3 linked regions of the Tamandua tetradactyla genome follow. The protein of the gene in region 2 interacts with the protein of the main gene of each other region in a pairwise test. Links are inferred from orthologs where the notes say so. Each region holds a gene or a part of one and is shown on either strand. Other genes may lie near its edges.

What was found. The genes of interacting proteins can lie anywhere in the genome.
Region 1: the proteins of BANP (region 2) and FHL5 interact in binary tests that used the Homo sapiens proteins (3 or more experiments, as listed by UniProt). The two-hybrid records come from large-scale screens. The link is inferred for Tamandua tetradactyla from reciprocal best matches to the Homo sapiens genes BANP and FHL5.
Region 3: the proteins of BANP (region 2) and L3MBTL3 interact in binary tests that used the Homo sapiens proteins (3 or more experiments, as listed by UniProt). The two-hybrid records come from large-scale screens. The link is inferred for Tamandua tetradactyla from reciprocal best matches to the Homo sapiens genes BANP and L3MBTL3.

Annotation. Positions count from the first base shown.
Region 1 is NC_135331.1:153,895,878-153,903,723, forward strand, and holds the start of FHL5 (four and a half LIM domains protein 5), read left to right. Parts: upstream 1-4,725; 5' UTR 4,726-4,869; intron 4,870-5,628; exon of another isoform or gene 5,629-5,889; intron 5,890-6,392; exon of another isoform or gene 6,393-6,460; intron 6,461-7,846. UniProt on the Homo sapiens protein: May be involved in the regulation of spermatogenesis. Stimulates CREM transcriptional activity in a phosphorylation-independent manner.
Region 2 is NC_135342.1:82,347,454-82,355,726, reverse strand, and holds the start of BANP (protein BANP), read right to left. Parts: upstream 3,371-8,273; 5' UTR 3,257-3,370; intron 1-3,256. UniProt on the Homo sapiens protein: Controls V(D)J recombination during T-cell development by repressing T-cell receptor (TCR) beta enhancer function. Binds to scaffold/matrix attachment region beta (S/MARbeta), an ATC-rich DNA sequence located upstream of the TCR beta enhancer.
Region 3 is NC_135331.1:191,514,288-191,522,400, forward strand, and holds the start of L3MBTL3 (lethal(3)malignant brain tumor-like protein 3), read left to right. Parts: upstream 1-4,992; 5' UTR 4,993-5,087; exon of another isoform or gene 5,088-5,134; intron 5,135-5,995; exon of another isoform or gene 5,996-6,094; intron 6,095-6,827; exon of another isoform or gene 6,828-7,004; intron 7,005-8,113. UniProt on the Homo sapiens protein: Is a negative regulator of Notch target genes expression, required for RBPJ-mediated transcriptional repression. It recruits KDM1A to Notch-responsive elements and promotes KDM1A-mediated H3K4me demethylation.

The sequences.
Region 1 (7,846 bases), on a different chromosome or scaffold from region 2:
AATCCCGTTTATCTATTTTTCATTGCTTGTGCTTTGGGTGTAAGGTCTAGGAAACTACCTCTTACCATGAGATTTATAAAATATTTCCCTACATTTTCTTCTAAAACTTCTGTGGTCTTAACTCTAATGTTTAGGTCTTAACTCTAATATTAGGTCGATTTTGAGTTAATTTTTATAAAGGGTTTGAGATATGGATCTTCTTTCATTCTTTTGAATAGGAATACCCAGTTCTCCAAACCCCATTTATTGAAGAGGCTGTTCCATCCAAATTGGGTTGGCTTGACTGCCTTATCAAAGATCAATAGTCTGTAGATGAGAGGGTCTATTTCTAAACTCAATTTTATTCCACTGGTCAGTATATCTATATTTTTGCCAGTACCATGTTGTTTGACCACTGTAGCTTTGTAATATGGTTTAAAGTCAGGTACTTTGAACCTCCCACTGCATTTTTCTTTCTCAAGATATTTTTAGCTATTTGGGGCACCGTGCCCTTCCAAATAAATTTGCTTATTTTTTTTTCAATTTCTGCAAAGTACGTTGTTGTAATTTTAACTGGTACCCATTGAATCTATAAATCAATTTGGGTAGAATTGATACCTTAACTATATTTAGTCTTCCAATCCACAAACACAGATGGCCCTTCCATTTATTTAGGTCTTCCATGAGTTCTTTCAGCAATTTCTTATACTTTTTTGTGTATGGGTCTTTTGTATCCTTAAGTTAAATTTATTCCTAAATATTTTATTCTTTTAGTTATTATGGTAAATGGAATTTTTTTCTTGAGTTCCTCCTCGGATTGCTCATCACTAGTGTATAGAAACACTATGATTTGAGGACACTGATCTTGAACCCTGACACTTTGCTGTACTCATTTATTAGCTCAAGTAGCTTTGCTGTAGATTTTTCTAGGATTTTCGACATACAGTATTATGTCATCTGCAAACAGAGTTTCACTTCTTCCTTTCCCATTTGGATGCCTTTTATTTCTTTTTCTTGTATAATTGCTCTGGCTAGAACTTCCAGCAGAATGTCGAATAACAATGGTGACAGGAGAGAAGCTGGTGGGCTTTTAAAATGCCTGTGCTGCCTATGCAAAAAAACAAAGCCTCTGTCTTAGGGCTGCAGGGAATGGCTTTTCAAAGAGTGCCATTTGCTGGTCAGGCCATGATAGCACAGCCTTAGGTAACCAATAAAAAAGCTTTATGGTGTCTCTCCTGACCTCCCCAGGTCCCTTTGGAACTGCTCTGCACCCGCTTTGTTGTTCTGTGTCCCTATTTTGGCTGAGAAATGCTGTGAATGAAGTGTCAAGGGAGAGCCTTAACACAAAGCCAATCAATAACAAAACAAGAGAAAGAAATTGGCCTTCACAGTAAACTCATCAAGGTAACTAGGTGTGTAGAATCCACAAAAAATCACAAGCCATGCTAAGCCATATTAAGAAACAGGGAGATATTTCCCAGTCAAAGGAACAAATAAAAAATTCAAAGGATATAAAGAATTTGGAAAAACTAATCAAAGATGTTCAACAAGTCTCTTAATTCAGTTCTAGATGAAGGAAAATAGGGCTAAAGAGACAAATGATATTAAGAAGACACTGGCTGAACATAAAGAAGAATTTGAAAGTATGAAAAGAAGCATTTATGGGAAAGAAAGGCACAATAGAAGGGATTAGAAATAATCCAGAAGCATACAATAGCAGATTTGAACAGGCAAAGGAAAGATAAAACAGAAAAAGAAAGGCTGTTGAATTTTGTCCATTGCCTTTTCTGCATCAATCAAGATGATCATAAGTTTTTTCACTTTAACTTACTGATATGGTGTATTACATTAATTGATTTTCTTGTGTTGAACCAGCCTTGCATACCTGGAATATATCCCATTTGGTCATGGTGTATAATTCTTTTAACGTGCTGTTGGATTCGATTTGCAAATATTTTGTTGAGGATTTCTGCATCTATATTCATTAAAGAAATTGCTCTGCAATTTTCTTTTCTTGTTGTATCTTTGTCTGGCTTTAGTATTAGGGTGATGTTAGCTTCATAGAATGAGTTAGGTAGGCTTCCCTCCTCTTAAATTTTTTTGAAGAATTTGAGCATGATTGGTACTAATTCTTTTTTGAATGCTTGGTAGAATTCACATATGAAACCATCTGGTCCTGTACTTTTCTTTTTGGGCAGCTTCTGATGACTGATTCAATTTCTTTATTTGTGATTGGTTTGTTGAGTTTGTCTATTTCTTCTCGTGTCAATGTTGGTTGTTCATACCTTTCTAAGAAGTCGTCCATTTCACCTACATTATCTAGTTTACGGGCATAGAGTTGCTCATAGTATCCGCTCATTACCTGCTTTATTTCTGTGGGGGGCCAGTAGTTATGTCCCATCTCCCATTTCTGGTTTTATTTATTTACATTCTTTCTCTTTCTCTTTTTTCTTTTCTTTTCTTTTGTCAACTTAGCTAAGGGTCTTTCAAGTTTATTGATTTTTTCAAAGAACCAACTTCTGGTTTTGTTGATTTTCCTGATTGTTTTCATATTCTCAATTTCATTTATTTCTTCTCTAACCTTCATTATCTCTTTCCTTTCATTTGTTTTGGTGTTAGTTTGCTGTTCTTTCTCTAGTTCTTCCAAGTAAATAGTTATTCCTCAATATTTGCTTTCTTCTTTTTTAACACAGGCATTTAAGACAATACATTTCCTTCTCAGCACTGCCTTTGTTGCATCCCATTAATTTTTATATGTTGTGTTTTCATTTTCATTTGCCTCAAAATATTTACTGACTTCTCTTTGTATTTCCTTCTTTGACCCACTGGTTGTTTAATAGTGCATTCTTTAGCGACCATATGTTTCTGGCCCTCAGCCTGTTATTGATTTCCAACTTCATTCCATTATGATCTGAGAAAGTGTCTCATATAATTTCAATCTTTTTAAATTTCTTGAGATTTGCTTTGTAACCCAGTATATGGTCCACCTTTAAGAATGATCCATAAGCACTTGAGACAAATGTGTATCCTGCTGTTGTGGGGAGTAATGTCTGTAAATGCCTGTTAAGTCTACTTCATTTACTATTTTATTCAAAATCTCTGCTTGCTAAGTTGTCCTCTGTCTAGATGTTATATCCAAAGATCAGAAATTTCAGGTAAGATTAAAGACAGTGCTCCATTGATGAGAGCAGGCAATCGAAGTCTCCAATTATTATGGTAGATGTGTCTATTTCTCCCTCAGTGTTGTCAGTGTTTGCCTCATGTATTTTGGAGCACTATGGCTCAGTGTATAAATAATTATGATTGCTATGTCTCCTTGTTGAATTATTCCATTTATTAATACATAGTGTCCTTCTTTGTCTCTTTTAATAGTTTTACATTTGAAGTCTAATTTGTTGGATATTAGTATAGCTATCCCCTGCTCCTTTCTGGTTTTTCTTTTTTTTTTTTGCATGAAATATATTTCCCCAGTCTTTCACTTTTCACATTCATTCTTAATAAACTTTATATCTGCTTTGTCTGTGCTGCATCGTGCCCTTGGATTCTTTCTTGCGGCATGGCCATGGCCCGGGAAACCAAATATGGTCACACTTACGTACTAAGCTAAAGAGTTTAATCATTGTCCTGAAAACAAGGGGGGGTCCTTTAAAAGATATAAATTAAGCAGAAAAATAAGGAGATCAAAATTGTCTTTTAGAAAGTTCATGTCTGTTCTGGAGAGCAATTTGACAACTTATCAAAATTCTTTAAAATTTAATTTTATTTGTGAAATTATAGTATGCCTCCCCTTTCTAAGAAGTGAAATATGTACTTAAACTATGCATACATTTTTTTCTTTTTTTCCACTAGCATCTAGTAGAAATGGAACACAATCTTTTTTTCGTTTTGAAATACTTTGTTTAGTCAGGTGCTCAGATACCAAAGAAAAACCCTTTATGTATGCAGTTTAGCTAGACACTCTAAGACAAAAGTTCCAAATAAAAATCTCATTAGTGCTCTCTTGGAAAGTCAAATTTTTTTCTGATGCTTCTTGCTATTCAATGTTAAGAAGTAAAAACCTTTATCAAATTGTTTTCTTTCTGAGCTTGTCTGTACTCCTCTAAAAATTTAACCTTTATCCTTACTCTACTGTATAGACCTCAAGGTTGAATAACTGCTTGAAGGCATGACGCATGTTCAGTAGAGAATATGTGGTTGTTTAATTAGTACCTAATAAATGTAAATGAACTTAAAGTGAAAGCTCTAGATTATTTTCCTTCCTTCTTTCTCACTTAAAGCTAAGTTCTTGTGATTCATGCATTATAAATGCTCAGCGAAAATTTTTGGTGTTGAAGAAAGCAATTATACAAGAGAAAAAGACAAACAGCACTTCTCTATTATATATTTCATTATATTGCAGGCATTATTCATCGCTATTTTGAAAATAATATTTAGATGGGAAATCACTTGGCATATTAAGTGAACGAAGGAGAATACAGAGAAGAGGAGTAGATGCTGACTTGGGTTTGGGTGGGTGATTGTGCCATGCCTGAATAGGAAACATAGATTTCAAGGGGGAAGAAGATGAAGAGGTTTATTCAGGCTTGATGATTTTGAGATTCTAAGTAGACCCAGCAGACAACAGGAGGATCTGTCCGTTGGAGGTGGTTTCAGCTGGGAACACAAACTTGTGAGTCATAGTATATAATTGTGAATTGTTTTGAAAAGGAAACCCATGGAGAATGTGCAGAGAAGCATACTGAACAAAGGTTACAACTCTAGCTGTGGTGAACAAGGGTGGAGAGACTGAGATGCTGAGAGCAAGGAGGAAATCAAGAGGGTGTGACCTAGTGAAACCAAGGGATGAAAATTTCAAAATGAAATAAATATGGCCAAGATCAGAAATTTCAGGTAAGATTAAAGGCAGTGCTCTTTGGATCGCTGATTAAGATCTCTTCTGATCTTAATGAAGTTTTTTGGGGGGTTGGAATGGTTCAAATAGAAAGCAGATTGCAGGAGGTCAAGGAGGGAGAACGAGGTTTGAAAGCTGAAACAGTGAATGAGAGCTACCCTCTCAGGACACATAGGTGTAAACAAAAAGGGTGTAGACCCATAACTAGATGGTGATATAAGTAAGTTTGTATCTCTGACACTTTGCTTCCTCAGCCTGCCTGTCTAGCAGTGGTGTCATGACAATTAAAATCTATTACTAATTGAATGTACTTGTGTCGTTTCACTGAATCAGAATCTGTTGCTGCTAATCACTATGTTTTCCTTTTCATAATGTCTTAATCATCAAAGTCAAGTGAATAATAAAATATAGGGTTGATTGGCTCTGCAATTCCCCAGCTCAGGTTCTTTGATTGTATACCTGAGTTTGACCTTCAAAAATATTAACATATAATTCCTTTAGCATTTAGAACAAGGACAGTTTAGATTTGGTCTGGGAATTAATGGAGTTAAAGCAAAATATTTCTTCCCTCACTTCACCTTCCAAACTGAAGAAATGGCCTCAAATAAAGATTCTGTGAGCAAGAGCAAAGGCCCCTTACTTGTTTTCTGGTTCATTGTGACCCACTAATATTATTGTTCTAGGTTAGTTCAACATCCAAGCAATTCTTCAAACCCAACTCTTAAAAAATCTCTAGCCATTTTCTATGTTTTGAACTGAAGATTTTCAAATGACCAGATGAGTCTGTGCTTATTAAGTCATACTGCCACGGACATGACATAACAATCGTTGCCACCTCAAAGGGAAGTGTGCAGAAGCCCGGAATGCTAAATCCATACTGCAGGTCCAGCAAGCAGGTAACTACCGTGAGTTATTCTACTCAAATCCACACAAGGTTCAAAGCTCCCAGATTCCCCAAGAAGGCAGTGATAGAGGCCATAACCCCGGGCTCATCTCTCAAGATACTGAGAACTCTGAAGGTGAGAACATGGGGCCTCATCTCTTCCCAGATGGCGCAACAGAAAAGCTCTGTGTTTCAGCCACTAACCTAAATAGAAGGATTCTAAGAGCCACCAGAAAATACACAAAACAAAACAAAACCCAGATGGATCAAGAAAACAGAAAATACACTGTCCTTTCAGTGATTATTTTTATAAACATGCCCTAAATGTAGCTTGATCAGTAGAATTTCATGTGTGCGTGTACCAGCACACTGTGTGTTTTAAGCTTTTTGGAGCTTATCCAGATATTTAAAATACTAATCCTGGCAGAATATCCCTGTAAGGATATAATGCAGAGAATTTGCTACTTGCAATTTTAAGTAAAATTGGAAAAGGAATGCTTTTCTAGCCTAGTAGGAGTCAGCTATTTGCACGTCACAGGACTTGGGCCCTCCTATTTTCTCCTATAAAGTTGCCTCTGGGAGGAACCCTCATTTAGCACCAGCAGCTCATTCTGTTCCTTGTTCTTTATGTGTTGGAAGAAAAAAAATTACCGTATATTCGCCTTCTTTCATACTGTTCAAGTCACAGGAAGAAGCTTTAAGAAAAAGTGAGTTATTTTTTCCTAAAGGTTCCTTTGTATTTTGTTTATGTGGTATTTTGACTTCTATATATATATTTTTTAAGTGCAAGTGATTTTGGTAAACTTTCCAATGACTAAGAGAAAACTTTTACTTGACAAGTAAATATAAATCTTGAAGTTTCTATCTTTGAAACTTTTTAAAAGTCATTTAAGCTAAGTATTATTGAATTTTGAAATGCTGAGCTTTTAGATTTCTCATTTTGATGACTTGCATATGGAAACTTATAGTCTCCAGTTAATTCTCTGGAGTTGCATTCTTATTTCCTGAAATGGTCAAATACATGGGGGGTATAGTTTCGTTGTCTTAAAAAAGTGTGTGGGGGCAGAATCTGGGACTTATTTGAATGCATAGCATTATCATGGAGGGTATTTTATGGCTGGATATATATTTCCAGAGCAAATTTTGAAGTCATTTATAGATTTTAAGTAAAACGAGTTAATTATATTCCTGCTATGTTCAATAAAAAATCTGCCTACTTCCCAGGAGCAGGAATAAAAACAAGTCATAATCTTAGGGTTCCTAAGATTGAATTGAAATGTCTGTGGGTCTAGCCCACACAGATATACAATGTGCTGCATCATTCTAAAGTCTTATATCTTGAACCTGTGATACTTTTATTTAAGCAAAAGCATGCATTCCATATGTGTTTATGCTTTCTCCCTCACTGTTTTAGTCATACCCTCTTTGATGTCTGACATCCATTTGAAAACTTAATGCAGCGCCTCTGCTGTCAATATGTGCTTCAGAAATGTGGGAACAAAAAAGAATCATTAATAAAATGTATCATTCTCATATATAAAATGTTAGAATCCTCAAGTCATCTTAGCCATGTCGCATCCACAGATACTGTCGTATATAAATTCCAGCATTTTATTAGCAAAGGATAAGGATTTAAAGTTTAACACTAATATTGCCGACATGCATATCAGACAAGATATTTCATAAGACATTTGTTAAGATACGTGCCTGAAGCTATAATTCAAATTGCTTGATAGGGAAGGTAACTCTGATGTCTGTTTTTCATGCACGTTCCATTCTTCCCCACATTTTATCATTAATTGCCAATTCTGGGAGACTCCCACCCAAACAGGAGTAACAGATTTAGATTTTAACGTAACATCACCTGACAGTATACCTCTTATTTTTGTTACATTTGTTACATTTGCCAACTACATTTTAGTAAAGCTGGATTAATTTAGATTCTTTAAGCAAGCCCAGTAACTTTCTACTATAATACTGAAAATAAATGTTTATCTAGGACATTTTAGAGAAAGTTGGATTGTTTGATTGTTTTTATGCTTCCAATGTAGAGAACATGATCTCTTTAGAAACGAAAAGCAAATACTTTGTTT
Region 2 (8,273 bases):
TGACACTAGAGGAAACAAGAAATCAATCAGACAGTAAAGAACTGAAAGAATTCTTACTGTCCTCAGAGTCAAGAAGAAAAGTGAAGTCATACAACAGCAGGTTGCTATGAAAAAGGAAAAGAACAAGTAGGTCCTTGGAAATTAAAATTTTGGTTGTGGAAGTTTAAAAATTTTTCATCGAATAGGAAGATAAAATTGAAGTATTCTCCCAGAAATCAGAAATAAAAACACAGAGGGTAAAGATGACAGGCTCCACAGAGTAATCCAAAACATACGTCATTAAACTAAAACAAATCCCTAAAAAGGAGGAGCAATTCTCATTTAAATGATACAAAAAAATTTCCCAGAGCTTAAAGACGCAGATGCAGAGAGCATTCAGAGCACAAACCCTCATCCCTTGGCACACTGTTAAATGTCTAACATCAAAGAGAAGATGCTAAAATCTTGTCGGGAGGGAGAAAGTCACCCAAAAGGAATAGAAGTCTTCTTGGCAGGTTTTTCATTAAAACTAAGAAGCCAAGTTTAAGACAAGTTATCCTCAACAAACCCAAAAGTGTGTAAAAGAAAAAATCCACGATGATACCTGTGAGGGCGTCAAGAGTAATTAGACAAAGAGGACAGAGGACTCCAGGTTGGAGATTTGATACTCTCCTTGAGAATTTAAAACATTATTTAAGAAGAGAAAGAAAGGACCTTACAGAAAAAAGAAAAAAACGAAAGCTGTACATGAAGGCAAATGCATCATGCAGCTGTGAAGCAAACAATATTTTCATCAGTCATGCTATAGATAACTGCATTAACTGAACATGAGGAGAGAGAAGAGAGGGGATATAGTATGGGGAGATAAACCGGCCCATCACAGCAGAAGTTAAGTTGGTAAAATGGACAAAAGTTATTACCTTGAGCTATGGAGAACTATCTGAAGAAACAAATAAAAGTTTCACGTCTTTGAGGAAGGGTACCAAGAACTGGGACAAGGGCTGCTACTTTTCTTGTGTACCTTACTCAAATGAAAAAAAAAAATGCTCACTGTGGGTGTGTGTTATTTCCTTTAAAACACTTCTGGCAGGGTGGGTTCAAACACTGGCTATGTGACTCGGGCACGGCACTCAGCCGGCATGGGTGTCAGTCTCCTCATTGGTGAAATGGGGACAGCTCCTACCAGGGGTTAGGGAAAGAAAGAATGAATGGAGCCTCAAGCACATGCTGCAGCTCCAGCATGACCAGAGCGGACACTGAAGGTTGCCGCCCCCTGTCATGGTCGGTAACCAACTCTCGGAGTCTGCCCAAGCCCTGCTCTAAGCGGCTCTTCCAGGACTCTGCCGAACTTTATAAGCTGCCCCTTGGCATCCTCTTGTTTTGTGTGGAGCACTTCTTCCATTTCCCAACTGGGAAGTAGCTGCCACTGGGAAGAATTGTCTCCTGTTTTTAAGTCCTTAATTAAATCTCATGGGTAATCTTCTGCCTGGCGTGTTTGGTCCTGGGACTAAAATCGGTTGGAACACATCTGAAAGGCCCAGCTCACAGTATATGATCCGCAAGTGGCAGCTGTTTCTTTAAAAAGTAAAGCCAACAATACTAGAATCCAACAGTCTCAGTGGACCCCTGGGCATCAGAACCCTTTCCCACTGCAAGACAATAAGAAAATGGACGTATATGTGTAGAATTAACGCTACAGGCAATTCTGGTGTTTCCTTTCACCACTCCAGATCATAAGCTGGCACACAACACACTGTCCTAAAAGCAGAATGTTAAATCACTGGGCCATCTACTTTCTGACTGAATGTGCCCCTCACTAGCTCTATTCTGGGTTCTTTTCTGTCTCTTGAACAATTAACTCCTGTCTCCTCTCATCAAGTTTATTACAGTGCCAGTTTTATCAAAGCTAATAGGCCTTGAGTCCTGGGGCAGAAGAGAGAGGAATTACCTGTCCCACATCGGGAGACTCGAACTTGGCCCTCCACAACTTAAAGGCAAGCTCCCTATCCTTGAAAGGCCACAGTTGTCACAGTTCTTCGGGCAGCATTCATTTCTCCAATGCCAACCCAATCCCTACCATCTCATCATTCGGAAATTACTCCTCTATTAAGGCAGTGTCTCCACTGTGCTCACATAATGGGAAATGGAACTTGCATCTACTTTTTGCAGCCTGGGGTGGGGAAGGGGAGAAAAAACTAAAGCCACATTTCAAAAAAATTACATTTCAGAAATAAGAAGAGTACAGGGGGAAAAACCCCGAAATCCTCAACCAACTGGATTAGATCATCTCTCAAGTCGGACGTTTCCTACTTCTAAGACTGCACCTTATTTGCCTTTGCAACCATCAGAATCACAAGTGTTCTGGATTACCAGTGTGCCATTTCACTTTAGTAACTTAAAAAGTAGAGAAAGAGTCCAAAGAAATTAAGTCTACGACACCCCATGACGTTTATGGCACACGATGAACGCGGGGGTGTTGTGCGTTCCAGATTTTCCCGATTACCCAGAAAAGTGAAAACCCAAGCATGCCCTAACTTTACAGCCAGAGCCGTGCATGCGCCCAGGGCGACCCCGAAGTCCAGGGAGGGCAGGCGGTGTGCCCGCAGCCCGGAGCGCCCCGTCCTCGGCCTGCGAGTCAAACCAGGGCTCCGCACGTCCCGGCACTCGCCGCCTCCCTCAGGTGGGAAAAGCCACGGCCAACGGGTCCGCCTGAACCCCCGGCGCCCTTCCACGGCTAACGGGAACCTGGGGACCAGGGGAGCGCGAGGCGCGGGGCGGCCCGGGCCTGGCAACACCTCACCGCGCCAAGCGGGCGCGCTCAGCCGTCCCTGGCCGGGTCCGTACGTACCCCACGCCGCTCGGGGGAAGGGGGGAAAGGCAACCGCAAAACCACCGATACGCGGCCGACGCGGCGCGCCCAGCTCCCCGCCGCAGGCCCTTCCATCTCTGGGCGCCGGGCACCGCGAGCTCCCCTTCCAGCTCAGGCGGAGGGCGGCCCCCGCCGGCACAGAACGCGGAAGAGGGCCCGGCGGGTGGGCCGCGAGGCGGGAGGCGAGGGCAGGCCGGGGCGGTGCGGGCCGCGGCGCCGGGGGCCGAGGCCGCCGGGCGGGACCGTTGGCGGGGCCGACGGGGGACGCGGCGGGGGCGACGGGGCGGCCGGGGCCAGGGACGGGCGGAGGGCGGAAGGGCGGGAGGGAGGGGGAGATCTCGCTCTCGCTCTCGCCCCGCGGGAAGGGGGGGAGGCGGAGACGCGACCGGCTGCGGGAGCTGCAATTACCGTGTGGGCTGCGGAATTCTCGTGGTGTTTGTCGGGGAGATGCGATAATGGCGTCCGTCCTCGCGAGAGAAGCCGCCGTTCTGCGCAAGCGCCGCGCGTCCCTCCCCGCGGCCCTCGGGCCTCCGCACTCTGCGCAGACTCAGTGCGCGCGCCGCCGCCAGGGGGCGGAGCCCGCGGGTGGGGCCTACTGCTCCGCGTCCGCCGGTGCGCCTTTTCGCCGCTCACACGACGGTGCGCATGCGCACGCGTTCTACACTCCCTCACGGGATCTGTGGCCTCCTGGGTTCTTATTTCCCCCCTATATACTCGGTCTCCTTGCTAGTCCGTGAACGATTGTCTCAGTGGGTCGTTTGAGGGATTTGCAGGGTCTTTGAAAATGGATGACGAGGATTAACATCGCGGGTGACTACGTATCCCAGGATGCCCTGCGCAAGCTCCTAGCAATGCATTCTGGGACTCGTAGTCCCACCGCCCGACCCATGCCTGCCGGTACTTGTAGTCTTTCCGTCCTCCGGCCGCCCCGTCCCGTCCCGCCGCACGGGCTGCTGGGACTTGTAGTTCAGGAGGCTTGCGTTCGCGGCCCCCCGTGCGTCCCGCATAGATATAATCTTTGTTTCATATGTAATATATAATGTCTGTTTTATGCAATATAAACGCACGACATACTAATATGGATATAAATTTCATCTTGTATGGCGTAAGTGTGACTTTTGGGGTTCTCATAGGAAAAAAGCCCCGAGCCATATCACCGCGCGGGACCGGGACACCCGCGGAAACGTGCCCGCTTCCCGCTGCGCGCCGAGATGCCGCGGCTTCTCCTCCCGGCCGTGCCGGCCCCGAGCTTCGCGCTGTTCGCAGTGGGAGGAATCACTTCGATCTCGCAAACACAAGCGACGGAGCAGTTTCGTGTTGGCAGAAGAAAGCGACTCACCTGGCGTTTCGCACTGACCCCGCCTCAAACCGCGCAGCTGGGCGGCCTTGCCCAGCCCGAGGCGCCTCCCGCCCGGCGCCCCGGCCTCCTCCCGCCACGTGCCTTGAGACGGTTCAGAGAGCCACGGAGGGCCCGCGCTGCAAAAGGTGTGGGAAGACCTGCAGGCTACCACGAAATCGCCCCTTGTTCCAGATGAGGGACAGGCCGCGCAGGGTCATGCAACCGGACGGGCCGCGCAGGGTCATGCAGCCGGACGGGCCAGGTCATGCAGCTGGACGGGCCGCGCAGGGTCATGCAGCCGGACGGGCCGCGCGCAGGGTCATGCAACCGGACGGGCCGCGCGCAGGGTCATGCAGCCGGACGGGCCAGGTCATGCAGCCAGACGGGCCGCGCAGGGTCATGCAGCCGGACGGGCCGCGCATAGGGTCATGCAGCAGGATGGGCCGCGCAGGGTCATGCAACTGGACGGGCCGCGCAGGGTCATGCAGCCGGACGGGCCGCGCACAGGGTCATGCAGCCGGACGGGCCGCGCACAGGGTCATGCAGCCGGACGGGCCGCGCACAGGGTCATGCAGCCGGACGGGCCGCGCACAGGGTCATGCAACCGGACGGGCCGTGCGCAGGGTCATGCAGCCGGACGGGCCAGGTCATGCAGTCGGACGGGCCGCGCAGGGTCATGCAGCTGGAAACAGGAAAAGGCCGAGTTTGGAGTTCACAGCCCCTCAGCTGGAACCCGGTCTTGGGCCAGATCAGGTGGGGAGGAGAGGCTGCAGAAGTAAGCCCCGAAAATTTCCCGGGGGCGTGGAGGGGAAACTTACCCCCTCCTCTCACCTCCACCCCAAACACTGCCAAAACTCGCACATTTACATAGGCAAGAATTCTTCACGTGGATCCTGAAAGTCAGACTAGAAGGCGGATAAACTGGAGGTGATATTTTTCATCTTGTGTCGGAACCTTGTGGATCCCTTGTCAGTAGCACCCCCTCCTGTGGGCATCGCCTGCGGCCCCCAGGCCCCTGCTGGGCGGGCAGGAATGACTGAAGGCCTGAAGGAATGATAAAGGTTGACACATTCTGAACCATCCAATAGACTAAAAGCTAAAGACTTCCAAATCATTGCAGATTAGCACTGTATCAGAAATTAAGGTGATCACAATTATAATTACAGTTATGTTGAACTCATTGGCTTCTCTTTAGATTTTTTTAGTTCATTTATTTTTCATATTGCTGCCCCATAAACTAAGATAGAGGCAGGTGCTATTAAAATATTGATATCTGGTGATGAGCCATGATTTTTAAAATTGGATAGGTAGTAATCGGCCAAGCCGGCTACCTTCCAATAAAGTTCCGCTTAGTCACCAGGGGGGCCCTTGCCCTTGTCAGACAATGAGTGCGAGAACCCAATCCAATTTCCTGTACAGTGGCCTGGAGTCTAGCACATGGGGGCTGGAGGGATCTCAGTTCACACGGGGTCACTGAGGGCACCTCTGCAGGGAGCTGTCCCTCGCAGGACGCAGGTCAGTGAAGGGTTGAGCCGAAGGTCTGGCCCAGGACGCAGGTGGAGGCCAGCCAGCCCTGAGGGGTCCATCCTTATCCCAAAACAGTGGGGCATCTGCAGGGCATTGGACCACAGTAGGCCTGGCAGATTGGCATCTTGAAAGGTCACCCTGGCCCGAGGGCTGGAAAATGGATTAGAAGGCACCCGAGGAGCTGGGGGAGAGGCCAGCGGAGGCTGGGTCCAGGCCAGAGGCCATGTCGCAGTGGAGTCCGCGTATAGGGAAGGGGACAGAGTCATCGGGACCTGAAGATGAGTCTGGTTCAGAGCAGGGAGCAGGGAATGGTGCCAGGACAGTCGCCAGGCTTGGGCACAGGCATCATCACCTGGCCACGGTGTTGCTGACCCTGAACATCCCCTCCTGGTGGTTGGCCACTCCACGGGACCTGGGGCAGTCAGCACTCTCTAGGGAAACAGAACCCACAGGAGAGATCTACAAATATGAGATGTATAAAGGCATCGCATGCAACCCTGAGAAGGGAAGAGTCCAAAACCCATCGGCAGGATGTAAGGCTGTTGTCTCTGATGAAGGGTCTAGATGAACTCCACGGAAAGGCTCGTGGCTGGAGAAGCAGTGGAAGAGTCTCTCCCCTAAAGAGCCTTCAGGTGATTGGATTATCTCATTATGGGGCACATGCCTTAGTTGATTGCAGATGTGATCAGCCATGGATGCAGTCAAGTGACTGATGATTTAATCCACCAGCCCTCTGGTTCATCAACCAGCCACAGAGTATTCTGCATCAACGGTCAGGCCAGTGAGTGCCTGACCAGACCACTGGGCATCAGCATTTGGCCAAGTTGACACCAGACCCTCACGGTCACGGGCCCCTTGGTGATTCCCTGCCCACCTCCCCCCCAACACACACACACACCTTTTCTGTTTTGTCTGTGCAGTAGGATGATAAAACCTGCCTCGTGGTGCCTGACGGAGTTTAGAAGCCCGTCATAGAAAGCCTTTACTGCAGCACTTGGCACAAGGGGACACTCAGTCCCAGAAATGTTGTTACCTGTATCTACATGAAAGACGTAGATGATGCATCTACTAATGAAGTAGTCATAGCAGTGCCATGGCCCACTTCGTAAGCTCCAAGGGCTGGGCCTTTGCCTAAACCGTGTAATAACCTCCAGTCTGTCTGCAGATTGCCACTCTCCTTGACTTCTTTTTCCCCTCTTTCTTTTTAGTTGTGACAAAATGCACATAATATTTACCTTTTGAAGGTGTACAGTTCAGTGGCATTGAGTACATTCATGATCTTGTGTAACCGTCACCATGATTTTGTTCTAGAACATTTCCGTCCCTGCAAAGAAAGCCCTGCCCCCAATAGCAGTCACCTCCCCCTACCCCACGCCCACCCCTAGCCCCTGGATACCCGTCTGCTTTCCGTCTCGATGAATCTGCCATACTGCACATCTCGTACAAATGGAACCAACCAATGTGTGACCTTTGGTGCCTGGCTTCTTTCTCTCAGCATGCAAGGTGCAGTGTGTATGTGTCTGCGCTTCGTTCCTTCTCATGGTTGAATAGCATCCCATCGTCTGGCTGGACCTCATGTTGCATATCCACTGCTCAGTTGGTGGGCATTTGAGTGTTTCCACCTTGGGCTATTGAGAACGCTGCTGCTGTGAATATGAGTGGACACACTTCTGCTGAAACACCTATTTTCAGTCCTCTGGGTACTTCCCTAGAATTACTGGGTCTTATGGTAGCTCTGTGTTTAACTTATTGAGGAACCACGTATGTGACTTCTTAACAAGACCCTTGGTCGTTTGGAGTCAAAAGGTGCTGACTTCCTCACTTGTTTATAGTTTCTCTGTGTCTGGAACGTCCTGTTTTTGCCATCCTTTATCACCTAGAACAGCAGTCTTCAGTTTGGACTATATGTTGAAATTACCTGAAGTGTCTTTAAAATGCCACTGCCTGAGTCCCACTCCCAGAAATGCTGCATCTGAGACCCCCAGGAACTTCCAAACCACAGCCCAGGTGAACACCCAGCCAGGAAGGCCACTTGCCCATACCTTTATCTTCACTGTTTTGCATCTTAAGTTCAGTTTTCTTGAAGCAATTAGTCATCTGAAGATGGGGCAATTAGTCACAAGCAATATGGTTGGAGGCAAGAATCTCAAGGTAACCTTAAGGCAACTGTGGCAGTTTTAAAACATGGCCCCAAATTTAACACCCCTCCCTTCGAGAGAAGGGGGCCTCTGACCATCCCCGTGAATGTGGCATCTGAGACTCCTTGATCAATAGAGCACAGCGGCCTGGGCCTTAAGAAATAGGCAGGTTCCGCTTCCTGACTCTCGGGACACTGGATCTCAAAACCCAGTCGCCATGCTGGGTGGCTGCCCAAGCTGCCCTGTGGAGAGGCCTGCGTGGAGAGCAACCAGCGGCCAGCCTCAGCCTGCCCACCATTGGGTGTGCCATCCGGGAAGGGGATGCCCCAGCCCCAGCTAAGCCGTCCCAGTTGATGCCATGAAGAGTGGAGAAGCGCTCTTCCCGCTGAGCCCTGCCCACGGTTCAGGTGTGTGAGCTCAA
Region 3 (8,113 bases), on a different chromosome or scaffold from region 2:
CCAATTCAACTAACTTGGCCCGCTTTAACTTTGTAAGGTCAAAAAAATGAGTTACATGCATTTGCTTCCTCTGGGTCTTTTATTTATCTTTGGAGATTCTACTCAGTTGTCTGCAAGGGGTGGGGAGTCTCTGTGGAAATACTAGCAAAAATAGGAACTGCAGCTATGCAGAGCGTCACCTCGTGACCACAGAGCGGCCAGGCCTCTCTGAGACCAGAATGGCATTTGGGATGAGAAGGTCACACAGAGTCCAGGGCAGGGACCTGTGGAATGCTGCTCATCTGCTGCTCCTCCCGTGAGCTGACTTTGGCTGTTCTTGACCTCATGGTTTCTACTTGGGCATCACGTCTAACGCCCCACGGCCGCGGTGGGGCGCCCAGTCTCTCCCCTTTTCTCTCCGTGAATCTTTCAGTTTTTGCAAAGCTTGCCAGCTAACTTTTTCTATCACAGGCCCAGTTCATATGGCCAAGTATGAGAAGACTGGCCTGTTTCATTACATTCTCACCCACAGAGAAGCTGCCCACAGGCCAGGCCTGCCACTCGGCTCAGTCCATAGACCAAATATCCACTCCTGGGCCAGTCAGCTGCGGCCAGGAGAGCGGGTCAACTGGAAGGCACCTCCCAGAGCAGGGGGCTCTGACGGAGGGGAGCTACTGGCACAGACAAGTTCTGAAGTTTGGCTTTTGCCCTCTCTCACTGTTTTTTTTTTTTTTTTTTTTTTCCAGCATGGGCAGGTTCCGGGAATCGAACCCGGGTCTCCGGCACGGCAGGCGAAATTCTACCACTGAACCACCGTTGCCCACCCTTCTCTTACTTTTTAATTAAAATGCTTCTGAATTTAGGTTTAAATGAGTAGGTGTGTTATGAGAAATTAACATAAATTACCTTTTGCTTTTTAATTTAGAAGTCAGTTTACAATCCCAGATTCTCCTCTCTTCCAGATATGTCTATATTTGATACCTTCTTTATACCTAAATTAAATGATAATAATCACATCTATCCCAGAGTTCTTCATATATTTAATTTCCTTAAGATATTTTCAGTATGATACACACTAGGAGTCTTTCCTTTACCTGATAAGTAATATATCCTTTTCTTTCACTCTCAGCATTTCAATGACATTTTGCTACCACAAGCTCTGTGCTAAGAATGTTTGCAGATGTGTCCCAGGAAAGACAATCAGGATTCAAATTAGAGTACCTACAAGCACATTTCACTGTTATCTAGAACTAACAGGAAAATCAAACTCGGCTCTGACAAATATCAATAATAAAAATCTTGGCCAAATCAATGGTAATGTCATTTTGATACTTGGAAAAACATGGAACACACAATTATGTAGGTTTAAAAAATCAATAACTTGACTCCTACTTAAAAAGTAAGATAATACATTAAAATGATGATTTAAAGGATCGTTCATTTAGAAAAATCTCTATGGATAGATTCAATTTTACCTTAAGACTTGTGCCCACTAGCACACATTGCAATCCAGGGGCCTGAGGTTAGAGAAGGAGTTTGTGGCTATAAAACAGATCAAAACTAAGTAGCCATTAGGGAATGGAGTTTCGTCCTTCCATCTCATTAGCACCCAGCTTTACGGAGTGAATGAGCTCTTCAGTGATAGCATTCTGACACCCAGCAGATGGGTGGTTCTCACTCCTTCCTTAAAATTCCTTTCCTCCATATCATTTATACTAAAATGTGAAGGTGCTCCCTGCAGGCCTTCCTAGAGGAGTACGTGCCAGAGGGCAAGTGTGAGCAGTGTGCCTATCAGGGCAGGGCGAATTTAGTGTTAGAAAAAGGAAGCGTAGGTATCCAAACTGAAGTTCACAGACGGTGGAGGTGACAAGATGGAGAGAGGTTAGTGTGGCCTGTGCCTGGCAGTGCTGATGGAGAGCCCCATAATGTCTCTATAGAGTGCAGTGACACGTTCAAACATCTCCCGTGTATAGTGACTTCAGGTTCAGAATATTTAGGAGTGGAATAACTCGAAATTATTTTGGGGGGAAGTCTGGGCATAACAAATAAATATAAAGAAAAACAGAGCAGTGAGCTAAAACTTAATTTGGGCTGCCAGGGAGGTTATAGACCACCTGCCCTCGGCCTGGAGGATGGGTTAGCTGGGCGACGGGCGAAGGGGGGAGGGTGGTGGAGGATGGTGACAGTAAGTGGTGCTGGTGAGAAGGGATTCATCATGAATTACTAGGCCTTGACTGAATGGTGGAAGCGTGTAGGGAAGGCAAAGAAGCTTCTACCAGTATGTTACCATTTAGGGAAGAGGTAGAGAAATATCCTGTAAACAGGATCTGTTAATATGAAGAATAAAACAATGTCATCTAGATTCCAAGACAGTATTCTGCCTGTCTCAGATGGCAGCATTGAAGGATTGTCTGTGGACAAAAAAAAAAAAAAAAAAAAATGGTAGCAGTCTTTAAAGCTATCCTTTCAGGGAGAACCTCCAAAATCTTTATCACCCTGAACCACAACACCCTGGGAACAACTGAGATGAAATTTTTTGAGGTGTTTCTCATGATTTCTGGAGGGAGAAAGAAAATGCGTTGTGGAGACCCTCCACTCAGGCTTATTTTTGTTAGTGAGCCTCAGCAGATGAGCAGTTCCCAGGCAGGCTCTGCTCTGCACGGGCCCATGTGCTCAGGCTCCCTCTGATTCGATCACCCTCCCACCTACCTTCTTGGGGGAAGGCTGAGCCCATAAGCCACTGACCTCTGTCCTTCCAGGATTAGCTTAGCCATCACTTCTGCAAAGCCTCCCCGCAAGACCATAAATGCTCCTGGCTTGTGCTGGCTTTACACCCCATACTTCTAGCATTTACCATGCCATCATGCAATGTCATATTAACTAGATGTCTCTCTCTCATCAGGCCAAGTTCCTCGTGGCCAGGGCAGTGTTTCGATCGTGTTTATTCCCAGCAGCTTGCAGACTCCTCAGAGCACATGGTAGAAGGCCAGTTTGTGTTTGCAGAATGTTGACCTGATACCTCTGAAAATACACCTACAATAGACATATCATCTAGAAATTATACTGAGGGAACGAATCTAAAACGATTTTTTTGGAAAGAGGACTTTCAAATTACTTTTAGTCTATTTGGGGTAGGGTCTTGGGTTTGCACATAGCTCCTGGCCTTGCTTTCCTTCTCCTTGTGTGGCCTGTTTTCGGTCATGACACTGCTCATGATGCCAGAGCCAGGGAGAAAAGCGGACAAGCCGAAACTCCCATCAGTTCCGTAGGCTGCGCCTGAAAGGTACGATGTGGTGGGTGAAATCGATAGCTAGCCCTGGATTGGGCTTATCCACAGTTCTGGCTGACCAAGCCTTCTGCACTTCACACCCCTCTTTCAGCTTCCCAGGGCTTGTCCTTTGTCCCCAAGGAGAGGCCGAGCCATATATCCAGATTTTTGGCTCTAAGAATTCAGCCACCATACCAAAAAAGAAAGAGTTGGGTGGTCTGCTTCTCTAGGGTAATTTCATGGTGCTAAGGAAAGACTTGAACAATTTATTTTCTGAAACTGGTTCAAGAAACATTCCTTAAGTGAAAAATTCAATCAAGAATAATATTTCTTACACTTTGGAGAAGGATTTTTAATACAGAATTCCATCTGTGATATATTTAAATTCTAGGCCTCAGGCAGCAATTTCAGAAAAGGGCCTCCTTCACCCTGGGTTAGATGCAAAATAAATATCCGGGGGGGGGGGCTCCCCCATTTCTGAAATCGCACAGGCTATTCTTTTTTCTCGCACAGCAAAGTGTGTTATTGACACGAAAATGTTCACCACAACTTCGATTACGTGAGTCTTTGTGTAAGGACTTGTGTCTCGGAAGACGGCCTTGCTAGAGCCGGCCTGTGTGAGGAGAGGAAAGCTGTCCGTGCGACCCGTACTCTCTGCCTGGGTTTTGATGTGTTAACAAAGACAGGCTTCGGTATTTGGGGTGTCTGAACACACCAGGACGAAAGTCCTCCACTTGCTTATTGCTGAGGGCCCTTCGCGTTGATTTCGGAGCCGATCCGCGAGTCTCCCCATCTCCCACGGTGGAGGCCTGGCTAGTTTACAATGTCCGTGAAGACAGTCAATGCTGAAGGAGGACGAGGAGCACGCAAGGTGAAACCCCGCACTTGGCCGCGCAGCCTTCGAGGCCCCAGTGAGGGGGGTGGCGGAGGGGCTCATACTCTGCCAGGGCTGAAAACTTTCTTTCCTATTTTCCTTGGCCTGTGCGCGCACGTGGCCTCGGGCGAGTGTCTGTGGGGACGAGGGCCCACTCTTTAACGGCTGAATGCACACATCCAGCAGCACATGGTGGATGAGCTGCTCTGCGAACTGCCTTAAAAAATGTAAAGTGAAAAACAGACAAAGAGAGCTGTCACCTTCGCCGCCCTTCGCGTTTGTTTTGCCCGCCCTGGCCACGGCTCGGAGCCGGGCCCAGGCCGGGAGAAGGTGCACCTGAGGCGGCGCGTGCGTGCGGGCCGGGCCGGGGTGGCGGCTGCTCTCCAGCGCAGGGCGCAGGCAGGCAGGGCGCAGGAAGGGCGCCAGTAGGCAGGGCGCAGGAAGGGCGCGAGTAGGCAGGGCGCAGGCAGGACGCGGGCAGGCAGGCAGGGTGCAGGCAGGCAGGGCGCAGGCAGGGTGCAGGCAGGCAGGGCGCAGGCAGGGCGCAGGCAGGGCGCAGTCAGGCGCAGGCAGGCGCAGGCAGGGCGCAGGCAGGCGGGGAGCAGGCAGGTCGCAGGCAGGGCGCAGGCAGGCAGGGCGCAGGCAAGGCGCAGGTAGGCAGGGCGCAGGCAGGCGGGGTGCAGGCAGGGCGCAGGCAGGCAGGGTGCAGACAGGCAGGGCGCAGGCAGGCAGGGCGCCGGCAGGGCGCAGGCAGGCAGGGCGCAGGCAGGCAGGGCGCAGGCAGCAGCCGGGAAGCGGCCCGGCCCGCCGCGGCGGCGGCGGCGGCGGCGGCGGCGGCGGCGGCGGCAGCGCAGTTTCCCTCTCCCCAGCCAGGCTCCACGCGCACATGCGCACTGCGCCCGCAGCCCTGGACCATTTGTCAGGACTACTCGTGAGACCGAGAAAAAAAAAAGAGAAAATTTGGGGGTAAGAAGCGGCTGATCTGATCGAATCGCTCGTTAATCTGCAGATCTGTACGTGCCAAAGGCATTCATTTATTTTTCTGGGTGAGGATGAAAGTTCCGAGCGCTGCCGAGGGAAGGAAGCGCACCCTGCCCTTGTGAAACAGACCCGGGAGGGGAAAGGACAGAAGGGGTTTCTCCCCCACTTCTCTCCGCCTCTGGGAAAGAGGAGAAAACTTAATCCCGGGGAAAAAAGTGGGCAAGTGACTCGGAAGGGGCTGGAGGGGGAGTCCCCGGGCATCTCCCCGTGAAGTAGTGAGCGCGAGTGTGAAAGAGGAACAAAAGAGCGAGAAAAGAGAAAGGAAAAATGGGGGGGAGGAGAGACTTGTCTTTTTTTCGGTGCGCGCACCCGGGGAAGGGTGTGGGGGGCCGTGCGGAAGGGAGCCGGGCGAGGCGGCCGCGGCGCGCTCTGCGGGAGGGCCCCCTCCCCGCGCGCCCCCTCCCCCGAGCCTGTCACTGGGGTCCCTCTCCTGACGCCGGGCGCGGGCGGGGGCGCGTGCCGGGTGGGTGCCGCGGGGCCGCCGCCGGGGCGGCCGAGGCGGGCGGGGGCGGCCGGGCCGCGGCTCGGGGCGGCGGGAGGCGGCCGGCCCCGCGCCCGCCCCTGCGGCCCCCTCCGCCCGTGTGTGGCCTTTGTGCCGGGCGCGCACCGGGGAGCGGCGGGGCGAGCGCGAGAAGTCCAAGTACGGGAGACCGAGGCAGTGGGAAAAGAGGCCGGGCCACTTTCTCCGCACTCGGGCTGCGGAGAACGGACTGGTTGAATGTGCAGGCGCGCCTGCCGGCGTGTGCTGGGTGTGCGCGGCGCCGAGGCCTGCCCGGCTCCCACCGCGCACACGCACACTCACACGCACGCACACTCACACTCGCGCGCGCACACACACACACACATACACCCGGACCCCGCGGCGCGGCGCGGCCCGGCGGACCCGAGTTTGCGTTGCCTTCCTCGCCGCCTCCCCCTGCCCGACCGACTGTGTGAGAATTTAATAGAGAGCAGCTCCAATTTCCGCCATTTTGGGAAAGTTGCACAAAAATAAACCCTCCGGTTTATTTCTGCCGGGGCCGGGAAAGTGCCCGGGGAGGCGAGGCGGCGCGGGCCCGCGGCGGCCGTGCGCGCGGGGAGGCGCCGGAGGGCGCGGGCCGGGCCGGAGCCGGTGCCGTCGCGGCGTTCGCCCCGCGCCGTGTCGCGCCGCGCCGCCGGGGGCTGCGGGCGTGTGCCGGGAGGCGGCGGCGGCGGCGGCGGCCGGGAAGGGGGGCCGCGGGGGGCGGGAACGCGGGGCCGCGGGTCCTGCAACTTGTTTACGCCCGCCCGAGCGCCGGGAGGCGGCCGGGGGTCCGCGCGGGGGCCGTGCCGCGGCCATGGGCTTTGCACACTCGCGTCCTGGGCCCGGCGGCCGGGCGGGCGGGGGAAGTAGAGGCCGGCGGGGTGTGTGGGGGGGGACCGGGAAGCGCAGGAGCCCAGGCATCCGCCGCGCGCCCCGCGAGCTGGGGGAGGGGACCGGGGAGGGGGGAGAGGGAGGAAAACTTGAGAGCCCCCGAGACGTGGGGGGGCGGGGGTGGCGGCGCGGTGACACGGGCGGGGGGCAGGGTGCAACTTTTGTGCTGGTGGTAAAACTTTAATTACCTTTAAAGAAAAAAGGCCCAATGATCTGGGTTTTCGGGTCCCCCCCCCCCCACCTTCCCTCCTTCTGGTCAAAGCTCGGCCCACAGCGCGACCGTGAGAGAAAGTTGAAAAGCGGGCGCTTTCCTTCCCGCCCGCCCGCGGAGGGGTAGGGGTGTCTGGCTGTCTGTCCGTCCGCTCTCGGGGGGAAGTGGGGGTTGCGAGCCGCCCCACGGGGTCGCGAGGACGGTGGCACTTACCCCACCCTTCCACGGGGAGACGAAGGTAAACGTCGCTTTGGTTTCCCTTCACAGTCCCCCCCCCCCCCCGCTTCCTTTTCCTCCCCTCCCCTCCGAGTTTTCGAGGGGACCCGAAAAACGGAGTCTCTCTCCTTATGCAACTTCCTCGGGCGCCGCGACCGCGGCCTCGCCTGGCGCTGCATCCCCGGGCCGCGCCTTCCCACCCAGGCCGGCGCCCGGGAACGCCGCCGAAGGTCGCTGCGAGCGCGCAGAAACAAAAATAGACGAATTGTTCGAAGTTGAGGGAAACTGAGATAAGTGGAAATGGGGGGTGGGGGGCGGGGGGGGGAGGGGGAGCGCGGCTGCGGCGGGCGCGTCGGTCTGTAATTTTGCGTTCCTCTGAGCGCTGGGATGCCTTTGTGGGTCCGGGAAGCCCGGGACCGAGGCTCGGCACTGGGCAGCCGCGTCGCGTGGGTTTTTGCGCAAGTTTTTAGAAAAACACTGACTCGAGTAGAGCATTTCCCCGGAAAGTTTCAAGTGCAGCAAAATCGCGAACGTGCAAAGCTGGCCAAGGGGGGACCTCTAGTGGCTGACCGCGGGCGGAGACTCGCAGGCCCAGGGCAGAGTTTGGCCTTTTCTCGCTCGTCGGTTCCGACGTGGAAGTGGCCAGCCGGCCTCGGGGCGAGCGGCCGTGCGCGGTGTGGGAGGATGCTGGTGGGAGAGGAAGGCTGGCGAAATCCGAGAGCAGGGGGCCCTGAGGGTTCAACCCCTCTGACTCCCCCATCCCCCTCCCAGGGAGAAAGACATTTTGCTTCCATTCTGGGCTTTGGAATTGGTATTGTGTGCTTTTCTGTTTCAAGTCCTCTGTGTCTCTGATTCGTTTTTCATCACGAGTCATAGCAGATATTGCATTTGGAGTGTTAATAAAAGTACGGGGTACAGTGTGGGTTTAAGGACAAAGTCCTTTGGCTGAAGTTTTCCTTTCCTTTGAGCTGATCAGTGTATTTTCTAATAAATATAATTTTAGTGTGGAGTTTCTTGACTGTTTAGTTAGTTATAATACATGTGAATGCTTAGAGAGTTATAGCGTATACGGTCCCTTTTAGTTGTGAGAGTATTACTTTGTTTCATTAAGAAGGTATTTTTGGAATACTT